Lonchura striata: one gene and its partners. The main gene of each other region encodes a partner of the protein of the gene in region 2 in a complex. Links are inferred from orthologs where the notes say so. Each region holds a gene or a part of one and is shown on either strand. Other genes may lie near its edges.

What was found.
Region 1: the proteins of RAD1 (region 2) and HUS1 are in contact, whole or in part, in a crystal structure (PDB 8GNN), measured with the Homo sapiens proteins. The link is inferred for Lonchura striata from reciprocal best matches to the Homo sapiens genes RAD1 and HUS1. Residues at the interface, in NP_002844.1 of Homo sapiens: Asn85, Val88, Asp91, Cys92, Ser94, Ile95, Phe96, Gly97, Ser98, Gly127, Val128, Val129, Thr130, Val131, Cys132, Lys133, Ile134, Asn135, Gln137; in NP_004498.1 of Homo sapiens: Thr165, Ser168, Val169, Lys172, Met173, Asn175, Ile176, Glu197, Leu198, Val199, Cys200, Val201, Thr202, Thr203, His204, Phe205, Lys206.
Region 3: the proteins of RAD1 (region 2) and RHNO1 are in contact, whole or in part, in a crystal structure (PDB 6J8Y), measured with the Homo sapiens proteins. The link is inferred for Lonchura striata from reciprocal best matches to the Homo sapiens genes RAD1 and RHNO1. Residues at the interface, in NP_002844.1 of Homo sapiens: Asn47, Gly48, Ile49, Lys50, Phe64, Ile65, Gln66, Ser149, Lys155, Ile157, Glu211, Ala212, Lys240, Val241, Ser242, Arg244, Gln254, Tyr255, Met256, Phe266, Glu268; in NP_001239428.1 of Homo sapiens: Ser55, Trp56, Val57, Ser58, Pro59, Asp60, Phe61, Asp62, Thr63.

The regions. Positions count from the first base shown.
Region 1 is NC_134603.1:83,471,886-83,479,875, reverse strand, and holds the start of HUS1 (checkpoint protein HUS1), read left to right. Parts: upstream 1-4,923; 5' UTR 4,924-5,022; coding exon 5,023-5,074; intron 5,075-5,086; exon of another isoform or gene 5,087-5,196; coding exon of another isoform or gene 5,197-5,221; intron 5,222-5,347; coding exon 5,348-5,475; intron 5,476-5,917; coding exon 5,918-6,094; intron 6,095-6,725; coding exon 6,726-6,833; intron 6,834-7,787; coding exon 7,788-7,862; intron 7,863-7,990. UniProt on the Homo sapiens protein: Component of the 9-1-1 cell-cycle checkpoint response complex that plays a major role in DNA repair. The 9-1-1 complex is recruited to DNA lesion upon damage by the RAD17-replication factor C (RFC) clamp loader complex.
Region 2 is NC_134642.1:38,211,435-38,219,420, forward strand, and holds the start of RAD1 (cell cycle checkpoint protein RAD1), read left to right. Parts: upstream 1-4,931; 5' UTR 4,932-4,981; coding exon 4,982-5,176; intron 5,177-6,650; coding exon 6,651-6,759; intron 6,760-7,364; coding exon 7,365-7,623; intron 7,624-7,974; coding exon 7,975-7,986. Other genes in the region: BRIX1 (ribosome biogenesis protein BRX1 homolog), read right to left, coding at 402-671, 995-1,123, 1,636-1,737, 2,022-2,072, 2,171-2,244, 2,336-2,385, 2,762-2,832, 3,430-3,473 and 2 more. UniProt on the Homo sapiens protein: Component of the 9-1-1 cell-cycle checkpoint response complex that plays a major role in DNA repair. The 9-1-1 complex is recruited to DNA lesion upon damage by the RAD17-replication factor C (RFC) clamp loader complex.
Region 3 is NC_134604.1:31,063,090-31,071,067, reverse strand, and holds the start of RHNO1 (RAD9, HUS1, RAD1-interacting nuclear orphan protein 1), read left to right. Parts: upstream 1-4,924; 5' UTR 4,925-5,059; intron 5,060-5,762; exon of another isoform or gene 5,763-6,388; 5' UTR 6,389-6,489; coding exon 6,490-6,657; intron 6,658-7,978. Other genes in the region: forkhead box protein M1, read right to left, coding at 403-525; forkhead box protein M1-like, read right to left, coding at 782-984, 1,751-1,890, 2,042-2,188, 2,647-3,185. UniProt on the Homo sapiens protein: Involved in microhomology-mediated end-joining (MMEJ) DNA repair by promoting recruitment of polymerase theta (POLQ) to DNA damage sites during mitosis.

The DNA of each region.
Region 1 (7,990 bases), on a different chromosome or scaffold from region 2:
GGTCTAATTCGCCGGCAATCCTTTAGATGCATGTGATTCCCCAGCCACCCTGTAGGTACTCAGGATGATCTGCTTCATAACCTTGCCAGGTACCAGGGTCAGGTTGACTGGCCTGTAGTTTCCCAGATCCTCCTTCTGGCCCTTCTTGTGGATGGGTGTCACACTGGCCATCTTCCAGTCTTCTGGGACCTCCCTAGTGAGTCAGGACTGATGGTAAATGATGGAGAACAGCTTTGCAAGCTCATCACATTAGGATGTATTCCATCTGGTCCCATAGATTTGTGAGAATCTAAGTGGCTCAGCAGGCTCTGACTGCTTCCTCCTGGATAACAGGGGTCTATTCTGCTCCCTGACACCATCTAGCAGCTCAGGAGGACAGAGTTTCCTGAGGACAACCTGTCTCTTTGTTAAAAACTGAGGCAGACAAGGTGTTCAGTACCTCTGCCTTTTCCTTATCTTCAGTTACTAAATTCCCTCCCACATCTGATAGAGAATGGAGGTTGTCCTTGCCCTTCCTTTTGCCATTAATGTATTTATAAAAATGTTTTTTACTGTCCTTCACAGAAGTTGCCAGTTTGAGTTCTAACTGGATCTCTCTAATTTGCTGGATGATGATGGATTCATTATTGAATGCACAGGCAGTAACCTGTTTGGGTTTTGTTTGGGGGTGTTTTTTTAATCACAGTATTTTAAGGACAAATTGCTCACTGCTTCTATGCTTCACTATTAGTAGTCAGCTTCATAACTGCTGGAATATTGGCCCAAAAGCAAGCCTCACTTGAAGACCTGATCCCTACATATGTTAAAAAAATTAGAGTAGTTTTCATACTCCTTATGAAGGAGGAGGAGCAAGAGGATGACAGGCTGAGAAGATCCACAGACAGCACAAAGGTTCTGAGTTATTAGGAGAAGAGGGGTACAACTGCTGTGACAGTTTTCCTACTCTCTCAGTGCTGCTTTGCCATATCAAGGTTCCTCCACAAAGCTGTCTCTCTCTGCTGTAAATGTGATATACCCTAGCACTTCTGTTTTAAGCCAGTATGGATAGAGAGCTTGTCCTGGCTAATAAGATAAGCACGTATTCTATTTGCCATCTGTTGGAGGTTGGGCAGTTTTCTTATCTCTTCCAAGAACAATGTCTCCCTCCAGGGAGACACTGAAATTTTGAAACTGTGGTAATTTGGAGGGAGGGGGTTTACCTTTTCCATTTCACAGGAGGCTCTTGCCTTCCTTCACAAACTCCTGTCTTTTCAAACCAAGACAGAGCTGAACCCCCATTTATCTGCCTTCTCTCCTACAGCCATAGTAATAAATGGCTCCTGCCTGGCCTGAAACCCTGAAGTAGAGCCTGTCAGTCAAGTGTGATGAGAGCACAGAGCAATATAAAGCCTTTTTTTTTTCCAGACTTCTGGGTGTATATGTGGCATATAGTAATTTATTTCTGATGCCCATCTTGGTTATTAATTCCCCACTTTTATTATTTAGGGCAAGCAATGGAAATTTTTTGTATACATAGTCTGTCTTCTCATTGAGGCTTAATCTTCAGAGGTTATAAAGCAATGTTAGCAATGGACCATATCTAGAAAACAAGCTAGAGAACAAACTTCTGTCCAGATGTGTTGGTTTTGTATGGCCTGGGTTTTGGTAGTGGGGAGGCCACGGAGGTGGCTTCTGTGAAAAGCTGTTAGAAGCTTCCACCATGTCCAGCGGAACGAATCTCTGATGGCTCTGAAGACAGACATACCACTGGCCAAGGCTGGGCCAATTAGAAATTATGGTAATGCTTCTGTGATAACATATTTAAGAAGTAAATAAAAACAAAGTGGTGGCACAGTTTGAATTCCAGCTAGAGAAGACAAGAAGGTGAGAATATGTGAAGGAAATAACATGGAGACACCAAAGTCAGTGAAAATGGAGGGGGAGGAGGTGATCCAGGCACTGGAGCCGAGATTCCTGTGCAGGCCATGCAGATCCACAGGGGTTGCAGAGATCCATTTGTAGCCTGTTGGGGAGGTGCCTGTGCCAGGGCAGGTGGATGCCTGGAGAAAGCTGTGATCCAGTGGAAGAGTCAATGGGGAGAGGGGGCACCAGCTTCAAGGATGGTGCAGCCTGTCCTTGGAGGACTGCACCATATGGAAGAGTGCCCCATGCTGCAGCAGTTTTGGGAGGACTGCTGCTCGTGAGAGTAGACCTCCGCTGCAGAAGTTCATAAAGAACTGTGTCCTGTGGGAGGGACCCCACAATCTCACAGGGGAAGGGCCCCTCTCCCTGAGCAGTAGATTTCAGGTGACAAACTGACCAAAACCCCCCATGCCCTGTCTCCCTACACTGTCAGTGGGAAGGAAAGAGGGTTTGAGGGAAGATGTTTTTAAGAGCTTATTGTACTTCTCATTATCCTCCTCTGATTTTATTAGTATTAAATCTACTTTGTACCTCCAAGTTGAGCCTGTTTTGCCCTTGGAGTGTCTTCTCCCAGTCCTTATCTCAACTCATGAGCTCTTCATTAATTTTTTCTCTCTGCCCAGCTGTGGCAGAGAGTGAGTGAGTGACTTTCATGGGTGCCTGGCATTTGGCCATGGTAAAACCAGTCAAAGGCAGAAAAGGCAAATGATGTGGATCTGTTAAACTTTATGCAATCCACATGTATCACGATGCCACAGCTTGAAAAGGGTTCAGATCAATCTTCCTTCTGCAAATTCCTGCTTAACATTCATGTAGCAATCATTTCACTAAAAGCAGTCTGCAATTATGTCTGTGAAAGATGTAAAGTGTGTTAAACTGCTGCGGTGGTGTGTCTTTAATTTGATTTTTGTTCAATATCTGTTTCCCCTTTCCCCCCCCCCCCCCCCCCCCCAATCCCTAATCTCCTCCTCTCCCCAGTTGTCAGTATTCCCTAGCTCTCCCCTAACCCCCTCATCTCCAAGTTGTCAATCCTCCCTTTCCCTGCTCCTTTCCCTGGAACCTTCTCTGTCATTCATCCTAGCCCCCTCCTCTGCTTCCAGAGCATTCCCTGAAACCCTATTGCTTATTTTGTGTTATTTCACTTCCCTGCTCCCCCTGATAGGTTTGTGATGGGTTAATTCTGCCCTAAACTCCTCCCCTGCTATTCCCTCATTGGTTGCTGTTCCTATACCCCTCCTCCTGAATTCTTGTATAAAACCTCTGCTCCCGCTCCTGAAGAGGTCTTGGGGCTCACTGAATAAAACCATCCTGTTCACCCCCAAGTCCCGTGTCGCCTTCGTCTGTCCCCGCGCCACCAACTGGGACAGCAGAGCTTCGCAGGGGGAGCGGCCGCCTGTTCTCTTCCCTCTCGCAGCCCAGCACGGCACCGCTCGGGGTGCCGCAGCAAGGGGAGTGCCTGCCGCGCCACAACAAACTGCAAAGTTTAGTGTGTGGGATTTCACATCATTAGGGTTTTATCTTCTGCAGCCATGTTTCATAAAACAAAAGGCAAATGCACCAGTATTTAATGAAAAAGTTGGAGATAATTCTGTTAGGTGTAAACTATTGTCCAAGTCTGAAGCTAAGATTGTACCAAGCTGCACCTAAGCTCTGTGAGGAGTTTAGAAAGCAAGAGGATCTACTCTGAACTTGTGATTCAACAGGAGAGTCTTCTTTATTCTTTTTTTGTCTTTGGTCTCATTGTAAATAATTCTAAAATTATTCTAATTAGATTTTTCTTTGTATGTTTCATCCATGATGAAGTGAATCTTGTCATTGAGCTTTATGTCACACTTTAATATATGTATATTAACCCCACTTTTGCTAATACCTTTCATGATGATTCTTTGAGTGACCCTAAACCCTATATTTGTGACAAATCGGTATAGTTGACAGGATCCTAGATGAGAATTTGTGACGCCCTGCTGCACTGGTTTCTCTGGGAAACTCTTCAGCTTATTTCTACAAAATTTACAAGGTCTAAGAGCAATACAAGCAGAGGATAACCTCTCCAGAAACTATTGCTGTATCTGTCATTAGGCAGACCCAAGGTTATTTTTCATTTTCTTCATAATGACTGTATAGAAAGAGAGAATCAAGGCATGTGAGCAGCACTCCAAGAATATTTCAAAATTAAATATTAGAGAGGCAATTTAGCTGATTTGGGGAACTTGCAATGTGACAAAAGAACACCAGACAATCCTGACAGACAAAAAAAGAACACCACTAGAAAACTGTCTCTGCAAATGCTGTAGCTTTGAAGTACTGCAAGGAACTAAAACCATTAAGGCAAAGGACACCGTCTATAGAAAACAGGCATGCTCCACATTGACTAGGTAAAGCAGTTTTCCTTCACTTTCTATTTCCTTGAACAATTCCAGCCTTGGCATAAACCCCTGTGCACCATGCATTAAGCTGGGAGCCTGGCTACAGGAGGCACCCGGTCTGACAGAGAGTATCTTTCTCAAAACACTTTCGGCTGCCCAGCCCTTTCTGGGTGGGCTGGTAAAACTGGGGCAGTGAAAAGGCCCCTCACGAAGCTGTTCGCTCCCCTTTCCATCACGACTGTTGCTTTCCTTCCTCACCACCGCGTCCTGTGCGGCAGCGTCGGGGCTATGCCCCTGCCAGCGGCTGATGGGTCTGCTGCAAGGGCCCCCTTGGATTTGAAAAAGAAATTTCTCGAGACATCGGGACTGCGACCCACACAGACGAATCTTCACGTACATTCCGGGGGTCCCAAGGCATTTTCGGCCTAAGCTTTTCAGCCCAGGCTGCGCCGACTGCTGCCGCGGCGGAAGGAAGTCGGCCCGCCCGCCCGGGCGCTGCGCAATCCCGCCGCGCTGCGGGGCTGGCTTTGGCGAGGCCTCTCCCTGCCCGCCCGGGCGCTGCCCAGCCCCGGCGCTGCCCAGTCCCGCGCTGGCTTTGGCGAGGCCCCTCCCTGCCCGCCCGGGCGCTGCCCAGTCCCGCGCTGGCTTTGGCGAGGCCTCTCCCTGCCCGCCCGGGCGCTGCCCAGCCCCGCCGCGCTGCGGGGCTGGCTTTGGCGAGGCCTCTCCCTGCCCGCCCGGGCGGGACCGCGGCGCCATGCGATTTCGGGCAAAGATCGTGGATGTCGCCTGCCTCAGCCACTTCAGCCGTGAGTATGCCGGGCCAGGCTGAAGGGCGGCAGTGCCTCGCCGAGCACCTGGGGCCGGCTTTCTCGGGCTAAGAAAAGAGGAAGGGAGGCGAGGACCGCCTGCTTTCCTGGGAGGACGTGGCATGAGGCGCTTTCCTTCGCCCCGAGGTGTTTAGGAGTTTGCGAAAGAGCACGAGCTGCGTTTGTGAAAGCTGAAGGTTTTTCCGTCCCGCAGAGACGGGGGTGCGTGGAGCGATCGCTGTGTGACGTCTCCTCCCTCCCTTCCTCCGGCAGGTATAATTAACACTGTCGCCAAGTTAGCCAAGACCTGCATCCTGCGCCTTACTGTCTCCAAGCTGTATTTCATCCTCTCCGATAAAGTAGCAAATGGAGGCGCCAGTCTGTGGTGTGAGCTGAGCCAGGTGAGCCCAGGAAAGTTCAGTGACCACATTTTGAAAACCAGAGCATGTAATTGGGTTTGACGTATGAGGCATTTCTTGTAGCCCTCACCTTCGATCTGCTAGGTCTCTCAGGGTCTGTCTGGTTGCAGGTGTTTCAGGTAGGATATTCCTTTTTTCCTTGGTAGTCACTTCAGTGTAAAGCTTCAGTGTGTGCTGGCTCACATGGGCCTGCCCAAAACTGGAAACGGGAAAGCATAACTCACTGTCTAATAGACTGATAAGGTGTTAGGGGAGTACGTTAATTGGTTTAGCCTGAAGCAATGAATTTTCATGGTTGTGATTCCTCAGGTGATGTGAGGCAGAGGGGAGTTTCTGGTGTACAAATGCAGTTCTAAGTTTAAGGTCCGATAAATAAAACTTGCCTCTCTTATTTGCTTTGTTTCCCGACTTTCAAAAATTGTAGGGGAATTTCTTCGATGAATTTCAGATGGAAGGAGTAGCTGCAGAACACAATGAAATCTATCTAGAGTTTGTGCCTGAGAACCTGTCAAGAGCATTAAAAACTGCCCAGAGTGCTAAGGCAGTGAAGATCAAGTTGACTAATAAACACTGTCCCTGTCTCAGAGTTGCTGTGGAGCTAGTAAGTTCAACCATGCTTTCATGTTCATTATTTAAAATTCAGTGCATTTCCTAAGATCAAAGGGTAATATTTGGTGTAATTCTAGAAAACTAAAGAAGCATTGTGCCATTTTCCCTTTCACTAACCTTTCTTGCCATCATGGTTGGTAGCATACAGAACCAGATTTATATTTTCCAAAAAGCAAGGAGGAGGTGGAGGAAGAATGCTGTGTTATTGAAACAAGTTTTTCTAATGTCTACTTTTCTACCTTCCTTCATCCTCTGTATCTTCTGTGGATTATTGCCTTTTCATTGAAGCCATTAGATGAAGGAGGTTTCAGTGTTTGGCTCTGTGTTTTGCCTTTGGTTTTCCTGATATTGTATGCTGACTTCTGATTCTTTTATTGTTAACTCTGCTGATTCACTTCTTCAGCTCTTTGGATAGCTTATAGGTACACTAATGACTGATACATCACAAACTCTTCCTCATTTGAAAGGGAAGCCCACTTTAAAGCATATTGATAGGAGCTGAGGGAAAATGAACTGAGTTTCAGGCATGTAGTTATAGCATTTCCTAGAGTGGGTCTGAAAAATTTAAATTTAGAATTCCAATCTTGTGTTTAACTGCAAGAGCATCCTTTTTTTCCCTGAAGCCATCCTTACCAAGCAGCAGTAGGATTGTGACACATGACATTCCTGTGGGAGTTATTCCCAGAAGAATGTGGAATGACTTCAGAGAACCCAGCGTGCCAGACTTTGATGTAAGCCTCTGCTTTTATTTTCCCTTCTGAAAGAGGAGCTTGCAAGTGGAACGATATTGCTATAGATTATATTACTGGTGGGGTTTGGAAAGGAGTTGAAAGGAAAGAGGAACGACTGGAGGCTACAGGTTTTTTTTTTGGGGGGGGGGGTATGGAACATGGCTTCAATCCTGACAAGAGAGCCCAGAACCTATGGAAACAGAGTGGGTGATTGCCAATTGCTTCTGTGATGTTCATGGCAGAGGAAGGGAGGAGAAAAGGACTTGCTTAGCTTTAGTCTGGAGCACCTCTAAACCAGACAAGTTTAGACTGTTTCAGCTGTTCAGGTGCTGAATGGCCCAAATATCTATTCTTTCTGAAATTTATGGCCTATCTGGCAGAGTTAGAGATATAGGTGTTTCCTCCTGGTTTTAACTCTTAGCAAAATTGTAAGGAAAGGTCCTTAAACAAATATGCTCCTATTAGAGATTACAGATGTCTGTTACCTCTATAGCTAAGAGTATTTAGATTCTGAAGACATACAGAATCTTGACATATTGAAAAAACTTTTAATATTTTGTTCTTTTATTTTAGATTTACACTGGTTGCAATAATTACATTTCCAGTAATTACTGCAGTATCATAGGAATCTTGTTATTTTCTTTTTGGCTATAGTAATTGACTATTTGATAACATAGATAGTTCATGTGAAAGCGTGATCTGCAAAAACATGCCTCTATTTTGAACATAGACTTGGAATATTATGTCTGGAATGATTGCTAGACTGATGGCTTGTTGGTATAATGGGAAAGAGTTCCTCTGTTCCTGAGACATTTGCTGATTTCAGATAGATTTTGTGCACCCTGAATGCCATAGATAACACTGTCCAAACTATGATAAAATTGAAAGTAGAAATCAATGTGTCCCAATCACATCTGAAATACTTGTGCAAATGCAGTTCTTATGTATTCCTAGGTCAGTATTTACTTACCAGTGCTGAAAACAATGAAGAGTGTTGTGGAAAGAATGAAGAATCTCAGCAATTTCATTGTAAGTTAAGGCACTTAAAGCATGCTTTCTACAGATGTTATTTCATGAGGGACATAACATGTTGCCTAAACTAGTGCAGCCACATTATCTTATTTTGAGATGACTTAGACATTGAAATCAAGGCATCT
Region 2 (7,986 bases):
GAGACACAAGCAAGACTTTGAACAGAAAGTCAAACAGAAACAGGGCACAAGCAAGACTTTGAAACACAAGAAAGTCTGGGGGAGTGTAGAACTGAAAGAGGAAGAACTAGGTCATGAGGTCAGGAACTCTGAACTAAAGGTATGTTATAAATAACCCCAGAGAAGTTGTCCAGATGACCCATCCCTGGAAGTGTTCAAGGCCAGGTTGAATGGGATGCCATGTTTTTTCTCAAAACTCAGAATCCCAGAATACAATAAAAGAATGCAAACTCCATCTTTATAAAGAAATGTGTGTTTTGCTCATTTAAAACTGAAGCTCAGACATGTTTGTCTGTACAATGTGAATCCAAATATTTACGATATTTGGTTGATATTGTATGAAGTTTCATTCCTTATAGTATCTACGCAGATCCTTCAGTTCTGAACAGCTTTTTTTGCTTCTTCCTCTGAATTTTGCGAAGCTTCTTCTTATCTTTAACAATTGGCTTTGATTCTGGTTTCACAAGCTGTATTTCCACTGGCTTTTCTTCAGCTGGAGTTTCAAAGACTACTTCAGTAGGATCTTCTTCAACAAGGACCTTAGTCCCTTTTTTCTTAATCATTTGCACTTCTTTCACTTGCTGCTTCTCTCTAAACTTAGCTGCCACTGACAATCTCACCAGCCGGCGATGCTATAAAAGTAAGAATTTAAATTTCATCATGTTTCAAATAAGCATGATGGAAGAAATCTGGTATTAAAGAAACTGATTTCTTTAATGCTAATTTCTCTGCTTAATGGCCAAGACCCTCAGTGTAATATCATCTTTTCAGTGACATGACTTCTGCATTCACTCCATGATTACAAAACTACTCTGCTCTCAAACTGTCACCAGTTTAGGGCACTACAAAGGGTCCTGGGGAAAGGCATAGTTGATGCTCCTGCACAGACTGACTGCAAGGCTGATTTTCAAATTAGTTGCTAAATGAAGGAGAAAACAAAAACAGAGCTGCTTACCATATTTGGGGACTGGTAATGAGGATTTTCATATAGAGTTGGTCCTCCAAAGCTACCTTGGAAGATTTTTATAAGGTTCAGGACAAAACGAGGCCCAATTTCTACTAGAGATGCATCTTCTTCTATTATCTGCAATAAAAAGAAAACTTTCTCCATTTCTCACAGATTGAATCAAAGCATATGACCTTGCAGGCACCTTGCACATAGCAATACACAACTGAATTTAAATTCAAGATAATTAGCTAGATTTGTATAAACCCAGTCCTGTACATAAAGCAGTTCCTTGAAATTCAAGCAAGCTTTTGGAGTACTCTGTATTTGTGAATTCCTTATACAGAAAATAAGCTCTTGATCGCTTTGGGTCAAAGCAGCCATTTTGCTTAAGGCATAGTTTAGGCCTTGGGTAGTATGTCCTGCTACCAAGACATCCCTCACAGAATCACAAATCAATGAATACTGGTGAATGTTCAGTGAACCAGATCTCTCCAGGCATATGGAAGAAGTCATTACAGGACACTCAATCTGCAAGCACTAGGGGCTGGCATATCCTGCTAACAATAATGATTCTTATTTTATTTAATGGATGTGATATGAAGTTACTCTGCTGACCTCCTTTAGAAGAGCTAGGAGAGACCACTCACCTGATAATTGCGAAACCAGATCCTTTCATCAGTGACAGTGAAGGTGAAAACATGGTCAACAAAAGGCTGGCTTTTGGGGTGGTACTGTGGTGTACCAAATATCTGTAATAAAAGGCAGTATTTCTGAACATCTGCAATTTAAGAAGTCATACATAGCTCGTCTTAAACTCCTTTTAATTTACTAAGTTCCCAAACCAAGGTTACACTTCATAACCCAAAACTTATGAATAAGTGTCTGAGTTGTGCTAAGAATGATCCCAATCCTTTGTGATCTTTTCAAAGTTCAGAAGTATAAAACTGCTACTTGAAAAAAAACCACTTGTGATTCTTAAGTATGTTGCCAAGAAAACATTTCCAGTGAAGAAACACTACAACTACAGACTGACCTGAATAAACAATTCTTTTAGCAGGGCATAGTGTGGCTCTCGGTCGAATAGCTACAAAAACAAAAATATTATTTTACATACAAGGCTAAATGCAATAGTCATGCAAAAAGAGTAAGAACACACCCAAATGAAATAAAGCCTATACTTACTGGATCAAAAGACAAAAGGGGTCTTGAGCCCCTTAGGCAATTTCCTGTCATCTTCAATTCAGCCAGTGTGTGAACTACAGTGATTAAAAAAAAAAGTTATTACACACAGAAAATTTTTCGGACACAACAGCAAAAATACAAACACAGTAATGTCCACCAGCTTACCATTCTGCACCAAGAATTTAGCAGATGGTCCCTGTGGCGTGTTTGAAAGCCTTCAGAGGACAAGCGGTGGGGAACAGAGAAACAAAAATGTTAACAGCAGCCAGAATTTATGTTAACAGCCAGATAGATTTCCACACTACACCCCAACCAGTTATTCCTGCATTCAAGTAGTTTCTGCTACTTTTACAGCTGTACTGTAATGTGTATGTATGCTCATAAAAACTTGTTTTCTAAACAATTTTGTAAAATGCTTCTGCGAACAATGTCCAAAGCTGTTCACTGTAAATTTCCACAATCCACAGAAGTACAATATTAGAACAAATTTAACTAAGCAGCCGTATTTCATGCATCTTCACTGTTAGAGTCGGAAACTTCAGATAGAATTGCAGCTATAAATAGAAATGTAACAAAGCAACATTTCCTTACCACATGTAGAGATCCTGTTTCTTTTTAGCTTCAAAAAAGATGCACTTATTGCAGTTTTTCATTTCACACACCTACACAAGACATATCAAATTAGTGCTTACAAACATCCTGAAGACATTTTTGATAACTTTCCACATTCATCTCTAACATTTTTTCCTTCTCCAAAATGGAAGTACAAAATAATATTGTCTTATTAAATGACATCTACTGACACCCAAAATTTGGTTTGGCTTTCTTTTTACATTTCACATACTTACTACAAGGAGTAATAACCTCCTTAAAGCTACAAACAATTTGATAATCCTATCCAGGATACAAACACAATAACATTAGGTTCTAGCTTGAGAACTGTCAATATCCTACTATATTTGGGCTGGTGGCATATATATGTCCTGCACTGTTCAAGCATAAGCTGTACTACACTTCTCACCTACACAAAAAGCACATTATGCTAAATTTCTTCATGAATAAAATCTGTATCTAATTAAAAGTTTCATTCTGGTTTTATTAACCAAAAGTCAACTTTTGGCTTTTTGGGTATCAATAATTTTCACCACTGAAGTTACACTTTGAAATCGGTTGCCCCTTTCCCTTGCATACTGAATTTCCATATAAAATAAAATAAAATAAAATAAAATGAAGAAGCACCAAGACAAATACTGAATTACCTCATTGATTACAAATAATTGGTCTTTACGGTCCATTTTAGTATCTGGAAGACAAAACCAACATTTACAAGGGTGGAAAACCAATTTAATACAAGAGATTCTTTGAACAGTCAGATGTTTTACAAAAATTGTACTAGTTTATAAATGAAAGGGTAATTACCAAGTTGTTCCTGTCACGTTATAGAACAAATAGACATAGCAACAAAACTAACTGTGCAGGTTCAGACTGAGACCATAGGATTCACTTCTCAGAAAATACTATGGTACAACAATTGCAATACTTGTTGGCTCAAAGGGTGTTTGTTTAAGATACAAGCTTCAGCAAAACTCTTCTGTACCCCATTTTAAAAAAATAAAAGAACAGATCATTTAGAGCTTTTAGCTTTAAAGTAGTGTCAAAATATAAGTTAGGAATGATGTTCAAACCCCACCTGCTTTAGAGTGAGGCATCAATGTCCTTAAGTCCTGCATTAGGTGTCTTGTTCTGAAATTAATTCCACGAGAGGAGAATATCAGCACTCGCTCCTTGTTCTTCCATTTGCCCTAGGAAAAAAAGGCACAATAGTCACGTGGGAAGCTTCCAGCCTTAATAATGTCATAACGCAGCAAAATAAAAGTTTGGACAGTCAATACAGAAAGACACAGCAAGAACCTTGGTTTTGATCTGCCCACGCAGACAGGAACCACGCTCTCTTTAAGAGTGAACTTCCCTACAGCACGGGGGGCACTGCTTTTACAGGAGGAACCGTCCTCATCCTGATCCACGGCGTGCTCCCAGGCACATCCTTTCACTCCCATCCAACTACTAAAAAGCCACACGTGCATCGCTTATTTTCCTGCAAAATGGGCTCAGGGACAGCCCCAGAGCACAGCCCAGCTTCTCCTGTCGACGGGCGTATTGTGAAATCTTTGTGTTTACGCGCAGTATTCCACGTTTTTCCTACAAGCAAACAATTACGGAAACCTTCTCTGTATGATTCCTAAACGGAACAAGTACAGTTTCCATACAGCTTCAGTATACAACAGAATTACCCAATTCTTTCAAATACTTTTGAGACTGAGGTAACACATCTTACCGACATGGACCAGGCTAACGCTTCTCGCGTACAGAAAAAAACGCGCCACCACGTGTACTGTTAGTTGTGATGGTATTATAAGAGATTACGAATAACCCTCCCTGTCACGGCTTGGCCGCGTTCCCTCAGGCCCCCCGAGCCCGGGCCGAGCGGCGGTACCTGGGACACGGGCGGCGGGATGCGGTATTCCTGCGGCGGGATGCGGTTTTCCTGCGGCGGGATGCGGTATTCCTGCGGCGGGGCGCTGCGCTCCCCAGGGCCGCCCCCCGGCGCCGCCTCGCCCGCGCTCGGGGCGCTCCTGGCGCGCTTCGCCTTCCCCCCGGCCGGCGCTCCACGTTGTCTCTTGGCCGCCATCTGTCCCCACGCCATATCTCGCCGGTGTCCGCCCACTCCGCTTCCTGTGTCGCGTTTCCTGTGCTCCCGCCTTCCCGGTGCCGCTCTCCGCCCCCCGTGCTGCCGCCTCCTCGGGCCCGGCCATGCCGTTCTCGGCACAGCCGCCCGCCAGCGGCGAGCGCTGCGCGCTGTCCGCCAGCCTGGACAATGCCCGGCACCTGTCCAGCCTCCTGCGGGCCGTGCACTTCCAGGACTACGCCACCTGCCTCGCCACGGCCAGCGGGCTGCGCGTGACCGTGGAGGATGCCAAGTGTATCCAGGCCAACGCCTTCATCCAGGTACGGGGACACCGGCGACGGGGAGGGCGCGGCTGCCGCAGCCCGGGAGGACAAGGAGTCTCTGGATAGGGTCCGCCGGAGGCTGCAAAGGTGATTAAAGGACCGGAGCATCTCTGTTGTGAGGAGAGCTGGGTCTATTTAGTCTGGAAAAGAGCGGACTGAGAGTCTCACCAATGCATATAAATATCTCAAAGATGGGTGCCAAGAAGATGCTGCCGGACTCCTTTTTGTGGTGACCAGTGGCAGGAAGGAGAGCAATGGGCATAAAGTAAACCACCACCAAGTTTCACCTCAACACCAGGAAGAACTTCTTTACAGTTAGGGTGGTAGAGCACTGGAACAGAATGCCAGGGAGGTATTGGAGTTTCCCTCTCTGGAAATATTCAAACCCTGCCTGGATGTGTGCCGTGTCACTTCCTCCAGGTGACTCTGCCTTGACAGAGGGTTTGGACTGGATAATCTTTAGAGGTCCCTTAACCCTAACAATTCCATGTGCTCACCTGTGGAAAAGGGGAGACGTTGCTGGAACCGAGGCAGAGGTGCCTGGCTGTAGGAAGGACCGTGGTGAGTCTGCCCCTGTTTGTGGGTGTCCATGCTGCTGGAATTCCAAACCCGGCACCAGTACATCCCTGAACACGTAACAGTGTAGTGGGTTTGCGCCCTCATCTAATATATTGGTGCCTGCCAAACTCATGCTCCTTCTGGTTGTGCTGTTCTTAGTTGCACAAGCAAGTGCTCACTGTACCTCTCTTTTTATAGCTCATCCCAAAGCTAAAAGATTGGATTTTTGTCAACTGTGAAAGAGTACAGATTCACAGACACTTGATTGAAGATGGTTGTGCTGTGTTCAAAGCACCTCAGGATGCAGTTTTCTCTCTGGGCAGCCAGGAGAATATGAAATTACTTTTCCAAAAGCACCTCATGCCACCTTGCTTTATTTCTGAGATACTCTGTTCTCGTAGGTGCAACAAGCAGTGAGTACCAGTGACAGACAGCACAGCATAGAGCAGTTTATCCCCATCAGGCTAGTCAAAGGCAGGATTCAGCACATATTTCAGAGTGGTGAAGTCACTGTTCTGTTCTTAAGTACTAGTATTTGGAATGTTTATTCATGCTCTGAGCATAAAAAATATGAGTATTGTCACTGTAGAAATGTGACACATTGTACAGTTCCATGAATATTTCTAGCTCCAGAAGTAAGCAGCTCTAGGTTTTACCATTTGTAGGTTGTACTTAAACCATAAGAGACAAGTATTTAGGTTTCACGTTTATGCCATTTTACCTTGTTTCAAATGTAGTTTGGTTGTGTTTTCCTAGTTTTGAGGATGAAGCCCCATTTTTCTACAATCAATGTTGTGTTGCATGTAGAAATCATTTTGTGTTGTACTGATTTCTGGATGGGAAATCCTGAAGTTTAAGCTGTAAAATAATTGCAGAAACTCCCAACTTTTCATATTTTTGCTTTAATTTACAGGCAGAAATTTTTCAGGAATTCTCTGTTCAGGAGGAATCAGTGATGTTCCGGATCAGTTTGTCAGTTCTTCTGGACTGCCTCACCATTTTTGGATCCAGCTCCTTGCCAGGTGTGGTATATTTCCATGAATCCACAGAAGGTTGTGCTGGCACTGCAGGATGTGTATTCACATGGCATGGAGTGATACCATGGCAGCTTTCTGGACAGTTCTGCTCTTGCAGCTCTGTGTTGTACTCCTCACTCCCCTGCAGTTTTGGTTGTGGATGACCTAAAGATCCAAATCGAGTGTGCTAAAGAGCACTGTGGTTTTAGGAAACCGGAGGTTCAGGTGGTGATAACCTGCAACAAGAGGGTGTGACTGCAGCACAAGCTCAGCTGCTTTAACTTCAGTTTAGGTTGCACAAGTAACAAGAGTAGTAAGGAAAGATGATGTGAGCCAGAGAACCACAGGGCCATGAGGATTTTCCAATTCCTCTAAACTGTTTGTAGTGCGTCTTAATTGTCAGAGCTGGTGGGTGAAATTATTTGGCTTTAAGTTGTCTACACACAAGTAATTTAATTTTACTGCATACCCATTAGCATTTCAGAGGGTATCTAGGAGGCAGCACTAAAATTGATCTGTGGCCTGTGTGCCAGAAAAATGTGAGTTTTCTAAAGTGATCGAATGTTCTTGCTATGGTCTCTGCAGAATGTATGTTTTACTCTCTTTTTCAGGAGCATCAACGGCCCTTAGAATGTGTTATCGTGGTTATGGCTATCCACTGATGCTGTTCTTGGAAGAAGGAGGAGTAGTAACAGTATGCAAAATCAACACTCAAGAGCCTGAGGAATTGTTAGATTTTGATTTCTGCAGTACAAAGGTTGTTAATAAAATTATCCTGCAGTCAGAGGGACTACGAGAAGCATTTGCTGAACTGGATATGACCAGTGAAGTTCTGCAGATTACCATGTCTCCAGATAAACCCTACTTCAGGTACTAAAAATGGCTTTCAACTCAAATGTTTGTGCTTGGCTGCCTTTGGTGAGGAGTGGAAATTTTCACGGTGGAGAGAGGGGAGCTATTTTAGAATACCAGTTCATTTCAGGAAGAATTATAATGAGTATAGTAAATCACAGTATGTTCTCTAATTAACATAGTAATGAGTATTTTGACAGCCTGGTAAATGTGACACTGGTGTGGACAGTTGAGCATTTTTGATTGAATAAAGTGAAACAAACAGCAGAGTTTGGTAAAACAGTCATGGGATACGTACAGTGACTAATTTTAATGAGTTTTTACAGAGTTCTCATCAGGCGTTTTGAGATCGTGCTTTTTGTCTTCCAGGTTATCCACTTT
Region 3 (7,978 bases), on a different chromosome or scaffold from region 2:
AAGGAGTGAATGGGAGGTTGAAAACCAGCAGTTTTGTTATCAGCACAGCAAGGCCCACCTCAAACATAGCTGTCCTAGCAGAGGGATTACATTCCAAAGTGCAAACAACACCAAACTTTCATGTTCACATCGTACCCAGCCAACCCTGTCATCAGTCTCTTATTCTATGTACTCTTGAGATCCCAGTTCTCACTCCAGTGCTCAAACATCCCATCATCTTGTTTAAGTAGGATGAGGCAAGGGATACAAGAAGTGGTACAGTGAACATCTGGAGTGAGAGTGTATTTGGGGTGGAACGTTTAAATGAGCTTCCATCTTGATTTGCAGGCTGGGGAATAACTTTTCATTTTGATCCAGAAGGCATGTAACATCACCCACAGCAACTTGAGGGCTGCTGGTTACCTTCCAACCTGGCTTAGCTACATGTTTAAAATAAGGGAAATGATCCTCAATCCAGGTATAGATGTCCTTCAGGGTCATGCGCTTCCTCTCCGTGCTGTTGATGGCAAATTGGATCATGGCCATGTAGGAGTAAGGAGGTCGCTCTGACACCGAATCCTGACATGAGGAGGACTCAGCAGCAGTAGGAATAGCAGCAGCAGCAGCTTCCTCTTCAGTCTGAAAGAAAGAAGATTCAGTCTGAATGAATGTTCGCGAAGCTGACAAGAAGGCCCATGGAACATCCCTGGATCCTCTGGGTTCTGCTATTCATATCAGTAAAGGTTAAAATCAGGTTACTTAGAGATAGCAATACCTAATTCTTGCAAGTATTCTGATCCACCTAGATTACCTCCTTATCAAAAGTTTTAGCACACTCTTGTATTCTCCTACTTGCCTTGACTCTTTCCTGCAGAGGTATCTGATTCTCTTTCTCTGTGTCTTCCTTCACAGAAGAGGGATTTAGCCCATCAGATCTCATCTTCCCCAGCCACTGGATGTTGGTGAGACTGTTGTCCAACACAGAACTCATTGTCTCTCCACTGCCTGTTGGGATAATAAGCCCACATAATAATCACAGAATAAATTAGGCTAAAAGAGTCCTCCAAGACCATTGAGTCCAACCTGTGACCAAACACCCTCTTATCAATGAGACCATGGCACTGACTGCAGCATCCAGTTGTTTCTTGGATACCTCTAGGGATGGTGACTCCAAACCTCCCTGGACAGTCTGTTCCAATGCTTGACAACCCTTTTAGGGAAGAGGTTCTTCATTATGTCCTATCTGAACTTTCCTTGGCACAGCTTGAGGCTATGCTCTTTTGTCCTGTCATTTGTTGCCTAGAAGAAGGCAACCCCCACTGCTCTACAACCCCCTTTCAGGCAGTTGTAGAGAGTGACAAGGTCCCCCTGAGCCTCCAGGCTGAACAGCCTCAGCTCCCTCAGCTCTTCCTCATCAGACCTGTGCTCCAGACCCTTCACCATGTTGTCCTTCTCTGGACATGCTCCAGAACCTCAATGTCTTTCCCGTCATGAGTGACCCTAAACTGAAAAAAGAACTCAAGATGCAGCCTCACCAGTGCTGAGTACTGGACAATCTCTCCCCTGGTCCTGCTGAACACAGTATTGCTGGTACAGGCTAGGATGTCATTGGTCTTCTTGGCCATCTGGGCACACACTGGCTCCTGGCTGCTGTTGACCAGTAGTCCTGGCTCTTTTCCTGCCAGGCAGTTTTCCAGACACTCTTCCCCCAGCTTCTAGCACTGCCTGGTGCTTTTGCAACACAACTGCAGGGCCTGGTACCTGCTTTTACTGAACATCATGCAATTGGCCTTGACCCATGGATCCAGCCAGTCCAGAGCCCTCCTGCCCTCCAGCAGATCCACACTCCCACCCAACTTGATGTCATCTGTGAGTTTGCTGAGGATGCTCTTGATCCCCTCATCCAGATCACTGATACACAGAGAAAAGCAGGACTGGCCCAACTCTGAGCCCTGGGGAACCCTACCAGTGACTGGTCACCAGCTGGATGCAGCACTGTTCAGCACCACTCTCTGGGCCCAGCCATCCAGCCAGTTTTAATCCAGTCAAGAGTGAACCTGACCAAGCCATGGCTGCCAGCTTTTCCAGAAAAATGCTGTAGGAGACAGTGTGAAAGGCTTTACTGAAGCCCAGGTGGGCTACAGACACAGCCTTCCCCTCGCCATAACTCTGCTTTCTCACAAGTAACCCTGCTACTCCTTCATCACAGCTGTCAAAAGGAAGGCACCAGTCACACTTCTAAAAGATGGTATTGCAACACTAGTATTGTGGAAGGAATTCATCTTGAATTCCTGATTTTGATTCCTGTAGTTGCCCAATTTCTGAAAAGAGCTGCAGGCTCTAAAAATAAACACTCAAACCAGGCTATTGTCAACCAAAACAGGACAATGTTGATCAAGTACTTCAAGAAATAGAAAGATTTAGCACAAAACTTAAATCAGAAGCACAGATGTCTTCCACCAAAAAATATGTCCACTATAATCCTTCAGATTTCACTACATATGCAAAGCTAGGTACATTATTAGAATCCAATCCATAGGTATTTTGTAATTAACAAAATATTAATAATTACTGCAAACCAAGATGCAAGTGCTGCACTCCTTGGCCCATTTCACATCTCTTTGTCTGTCAGGACAAAAAAAAAACAAACAGGTAAAGGCTACATACTGTCCCTGTCCAACCACAGGACCAACTCCTGAATGCCAGAGCTCTGTACTACCTGCAAGACCAGATGTCTGTGCAACATTCTTCTCTCTTTCTTGAATAACTGCAGCCCTGTTGCCTGCACTGGCTTTCTTCTCTGATGGGAGATGCTGCGATGGTGCTGGACCTGCTGAACGGGATGTGCCCCCACTGCTAATGAGAATGAACTTATTTGGTCCATTGTTGCCACATTCTTTTCCTTTTGCTGTCAATGCCTCTATAATGCTCTGGATATCAGCATTTGTAGGGATGGCCACCACCTGTGTGTTGGGCATTGTAGGATGGTCAATTATCTTTATTCCTGCTGGGAATTTCTGCAGGCCACCGTCCCTTTTGTCTCTGGGTTGTCTGTTGTGTTGGTCTTCCTGCCTGTGCTCCTGCTTAGGAGCCTTTTCATCCTGACCTCTCTTCTCATCTCTTGCTGAAGTACTGGATTCACCATTCTGTGGGAGGGTCAGTTTTCGTCTTTTGAGAATTAAGGGCCTGCGAGGGCTGGTCCTCATTATTGATCTATACTGTCACTCTCCATTGAAAGGGAGAGAAACAAATCCTGCAAAACAAAAGGTACAACATAAAGGGTGCAGCAAATCATCTCAAGACCTCCCACAGAGCACACATTCTCAGCAGTTGCAGTTGCTACAAAGCTAGAAATGCAAAAGGAAAATTAAAATTAGAAGCATTTAATAAGGCAGACAAGGCTACTGAAAAATCATACTGTACCTCCCTAATCCACACTTTGTGTAAGCAGGATGAGAGAGTTGCAGAGTAGATAATGTGCATCATAAAGTACATAATAATGAGCAAAGTGTGTATGTGCTTTACAAAAAGACTTAGCTGTAGGGCAATTTGACCATGTCAGCCAGCAAGCTGCAGGGGAGGCGGAATATAGAAACAGCAGTGCTGATTCTTATAGCTGATTGCTCTAAGCAGCAGATTATATAACCTGTGTGAAAAGGGAATTTACAGATGGTTTAAGATCTGGGAAGCAGAGATTACCCTGAACACTACAAAAGCACATAATAAATGCAGCAGAAGTAAGGTGCTTTAAGCTAGACACCAAGTAAATGTGCTTCTAATTCCTTTTGTATTTGTTAAGAATCACATAAATTCATCATTGGGTAGCATACAATTTAGATGTCAAACTTTTGGACAATAGGTAGTTTAGACTATAAAGCTGGAAGCAGAGGAAATGAAATTCAGAGATACTGCTTCCAGGGTAAGATGCTATGAGAATATTGCTAATAATGCCATCAGGAATTTGGTGGAACCTGTGCCTTTCTGAAAACTAAAGCAGAACAATATGCAAATTGTAGTTATTGTTTGTCATTAGAGATGGCAAGCAGAATAGAAACAGATACCAAAAAAGAGAGGCCTTTTGCATTACTAGATTTGACGGGGTCAGCTAGTAAACGAGAAAATTCTCAGTAAGAATCCCCTACATTGATAGAAAGCAGAGTCCAGCGGATAACAAGCTGAGCTAACGCCCTATGCACAGTGAGCAGACAGCCCAGCGATCATTCCACGCGGGTTCTGGCACCCGGCACAAGCATGGCCCTTGGAGATCTGCTCCTCCCCCTTAAGGAGAGACAGCGCCAGAAGCAGAACCCTGAGCCAGCCTCCGACAGGCAGCGTTCCTGCGAGCAGGAACGGGAGCGCGTCCCTTCCCAAGGCCTGGATCTGCTGCCCCGTCCAGGCCCGGGAGCAGGGCTGTGCAGGCGCGGCCCCGCGGGGGCAGGCAGGGCACGGCCAGGGCGCTCCCAGCTCCTCTGTCACCCACCCCAGCCCCGCGCTGCCGCCCTGGCCGGCGGGTTCGCTGCTCCCCGGGCCTTCCGCCCCGGGCCGGGCCCGGGCGCTGCCCTGTCCCGGCCGCGCGGCGGCCTTACCGCGGCCGTCCGAGGGGCGCCGACCCCAGCCGGGGCGCCGGCGGCGACTCACCAGCTGCGGCCGGGGCGCGGCCGGGGCGGGCGGCGGCCCCGGCGCTCTCGGAGCGGCCCGGTTTGAATTTGGCGCCCGGCGCTGGCCCGGTCACGTGCCGGCCTGCGCCAGTGAGCGGCGGCGGGGGCGGGCCCGGCCCGGGCCAATGGGCGGCGGCGGCGGCGGGCGCGGATGTGCGGCGGGACCGGGACCGGGCCCGCGTCGCGCCGGCACCGCGGTGTGCCGCGCTTGTACCGGGACGGCCGCTCCCGCCCGGCCGCGGCAGTGCCGCCAGCTTCCTTCAGCCGTGCTGCCCGCGGCCGGGAGCCCCGCCGTGCGCCCGCGCCGCCGGCGGCGCGCTGGCGCCTGGTGAAGAGCTGCGGGGTTTTGCCGTTTAACGTGTGTGTCACGGCCGCGCCGGGCTAGAGGGGCCCGCAGGACCCTCGGGCACGGTGCCGCTTAGGTAAGCCGTCAGGCTGTGTCAGTCTCATGCGTTTCTCAGAAATGTTGTCACGTTTTCTTGTCTGTGCTGATCTATGGTAAGTCAGGTAGGTGAACATAGTTGTGCCCAGGTGGCCAAGAGGGCCAGTGGCACCTGGCCTGTGTCAGCAACAGCGCGGCCAGCAGGGCCGGGACAGGGACCGTTCCTCTCTCCTCGGCACTGCTGGGGCACTCGGAGTGCAGCGCCCGGTTCAGGCAGGACACTGAGGTGCGGGAGTGGGACCCGAGAAGGACAGCAGAGCTGGTCTGGAGCACAAGTCCCACGAGGAGTGGCTGAGGGAGCTGGGGGTGTTCAGCCTGCAGAAAAGGAGGCTCAGGGGGGACCTTAGCGCTCTCTACAAGGGCTTGAAAGGAGGCTGTGGCCAGGTGGGGTTTGTAACTTCTGGAGGCATCCTCTGCAGAATGTCTGTCAACTTGTTTCAATGGAAACTGATTTTCTGCTCCTCTCTTTTTGGCATTATCTAAGTTTTTCATACCTTTTTCACTACTAGGTTCCTGCATAGGTAAAACCTACCCTACATGTTCTCTCAAGCACCTCTCAAGCACCTAGTGATGGAACAAGGGGACATCATCCGAAGCTGCACCAGGGGAGGTTTAAGTTGGGCATTAGGAAGAAGTTCTTCACAGGAAAGGTGAAGACAGGCGAATGGGCTAGGGAAGTAGAGTCCCTGTCCCTGAAGATGTAGCACTTGGGCCATGGTTTAGTAGCCATGGTGGTGTTTGGCTATAGGTTGAATTTGATGATTTCAGAGGTCTTCCAACCTAATTGAGTCTGTGTTTTCCAATAGAAAATTAAATACAATGTTACTTCAGTTCAAACTTATTCATTAGGCAAAACAAATCATGCAAGATCTGTAGAATACGGGAGATGTCAACTCTGTTTTGTAAAAAAGAAAAAAACAAACTTAAAATCCCTTGAAATTAAAAACACACAGGTAGTTAGCAACCAGAAAGGGAAAGAGTTCTGATTATCTTAGCCTTACAATATCTTCTTGGCATTACAAACAAGACTGAATTGAAAAAAAGAAAATAAATTTTTTGGCTTTTTTGTTCTTTTCATAGCTGACTTGTTCTTTTCATAGCTGTATCAGTAGGTCAACAGCTTCCCTTCCTGCAGTGCATTTCTAAATCTACCTGAAAATTAACAAAAGGCCCAAGAACCACTATTGGGAAAAAGTCTGCCTCAAGATGTATACACTGTGCTGTTGCATAAATGTTTTGCTTTTGTTAAAAACTGCATCTGAGGTTTCCAAATGAGTCTGTCTTCAAATCCATTTATTTGCTTCTACAGATTTGAGAGCACTTTCGCATCTCCTCAGGGTGCTTCCATCTTTCTTCAATTGGCTCCAACAAGCATCATGAGGTTTCTAAGTAGTTTTACCACACCTTTTGATGCCTCCAAAGAAGAAGTGTACCCACAAGGCCAGGAAGGCAGAGCTGATTTTCCTTGAGAAACCACGGGCAGGACCCATCCATTGTTATGAAGCTCCACTGCATTTGGCTGAGAATCCCAGACGTGTGCCTACAAAACCTGTAGACCTGAACACCTCTGCTGCCTGGGTTGGTACAAATTATCTTTCCTCCTGCGTCCCACACCAACAGTTTTCAAGTTTCTCCTGTTTCTCCTGTCTTAAAAGAAAGTTATCTGTTCTGGATATGGAAAGTTAGTAGCCCAGACCTGAATTCCTTCTATCAGTCTAAAGCATAAATAAGTGCTTGAGTTGCTTGACATTCTAAGAATAAGCACTAAGGTCTTGGTTACTTGAAGACATAAACTGTCTGCAGTGTGTACTGATTAATGAATATTTGTCTTCTAGAAAAATTATTCGCATCAGGAAAACACTGTTTTCCTTAGCAACCAAAACCCCTGCACAAAATAATCATTAGGGGAGTCCTTTCTTATTGGCTTGCTGTTTAAAATAACTGCTGAACTCTAAATGTTCGATGTTAAAGTATTGAGTGTATTGTTTAAATCTGAAACTGCTAAATTTAGAGAACATAGGTTTTTACTTCAGAATCATTTGTTCTAACCTGCTCTCTTTTCCATTTATGTTTTTTGAGTAGTGTCTCTCCATACCAATCTTCTGATAGGTTCATTTTCTTGGGACTGTTTGCCATGTCCTAGAATACTCTTTATATCATGTAATATAAAGCTTTAGTTTTTTTAAGCAAACAGCTGCAGCAAAGACAGACTGTTCCTATACAACAGTAGTCATCACCTAGGGGAGCTCTGTTTAAACATTATTGCTGCTTGACTGCTCTTCACAAAGCAAACTCAGGAAGAGTGGTTTCAAAACTGTATGAAACATTCCTTTGTTCCTGTTGACCTGCAGGTATTTTTGTAATGCCTTAACCTTGAAGTAGAACATCTTCAATTTTTTCCTCTTTAAATTTTTTTTGTATCTGCTTGAGGCAGTTAGCTCTACAGTTTGTGAATCACTAAGTGAAATAACTGCTGTGAATAAGCATTCATTTTGTTTGGAAGAGGTGGAAGCATCCACTCTGGTAGCTCTTTGATTCCTAAAATATTCTAAAATTTGTTTGAAGCTATCAGTACTGAAACTGTTAAATATTTCTCAGTTTGGTAACTGTGATAGGTTTGTAACTTCTGGAGGCATCCTCTGCGGAATGTCTGTCAACTTGTTTCAATGGAAACTGATTTTCTGCTCCTCTCTTTTTGGCATTATCTAAGTTTTTCATACCTTTTTCACTACTAGGTTCCTGCATAGGTAAAACCTACCCTACATGTTCTCTGAAGCCGGAAGCCATATCCTTAAAATCAGGGATTATGTTAAGTATGTGCTAGTATACAATTATTAAAGAATCATTTCTCTTTTCCTGCAAAATGGCTTTGGAGTCAAACAGTTCAGCTGTACATTAG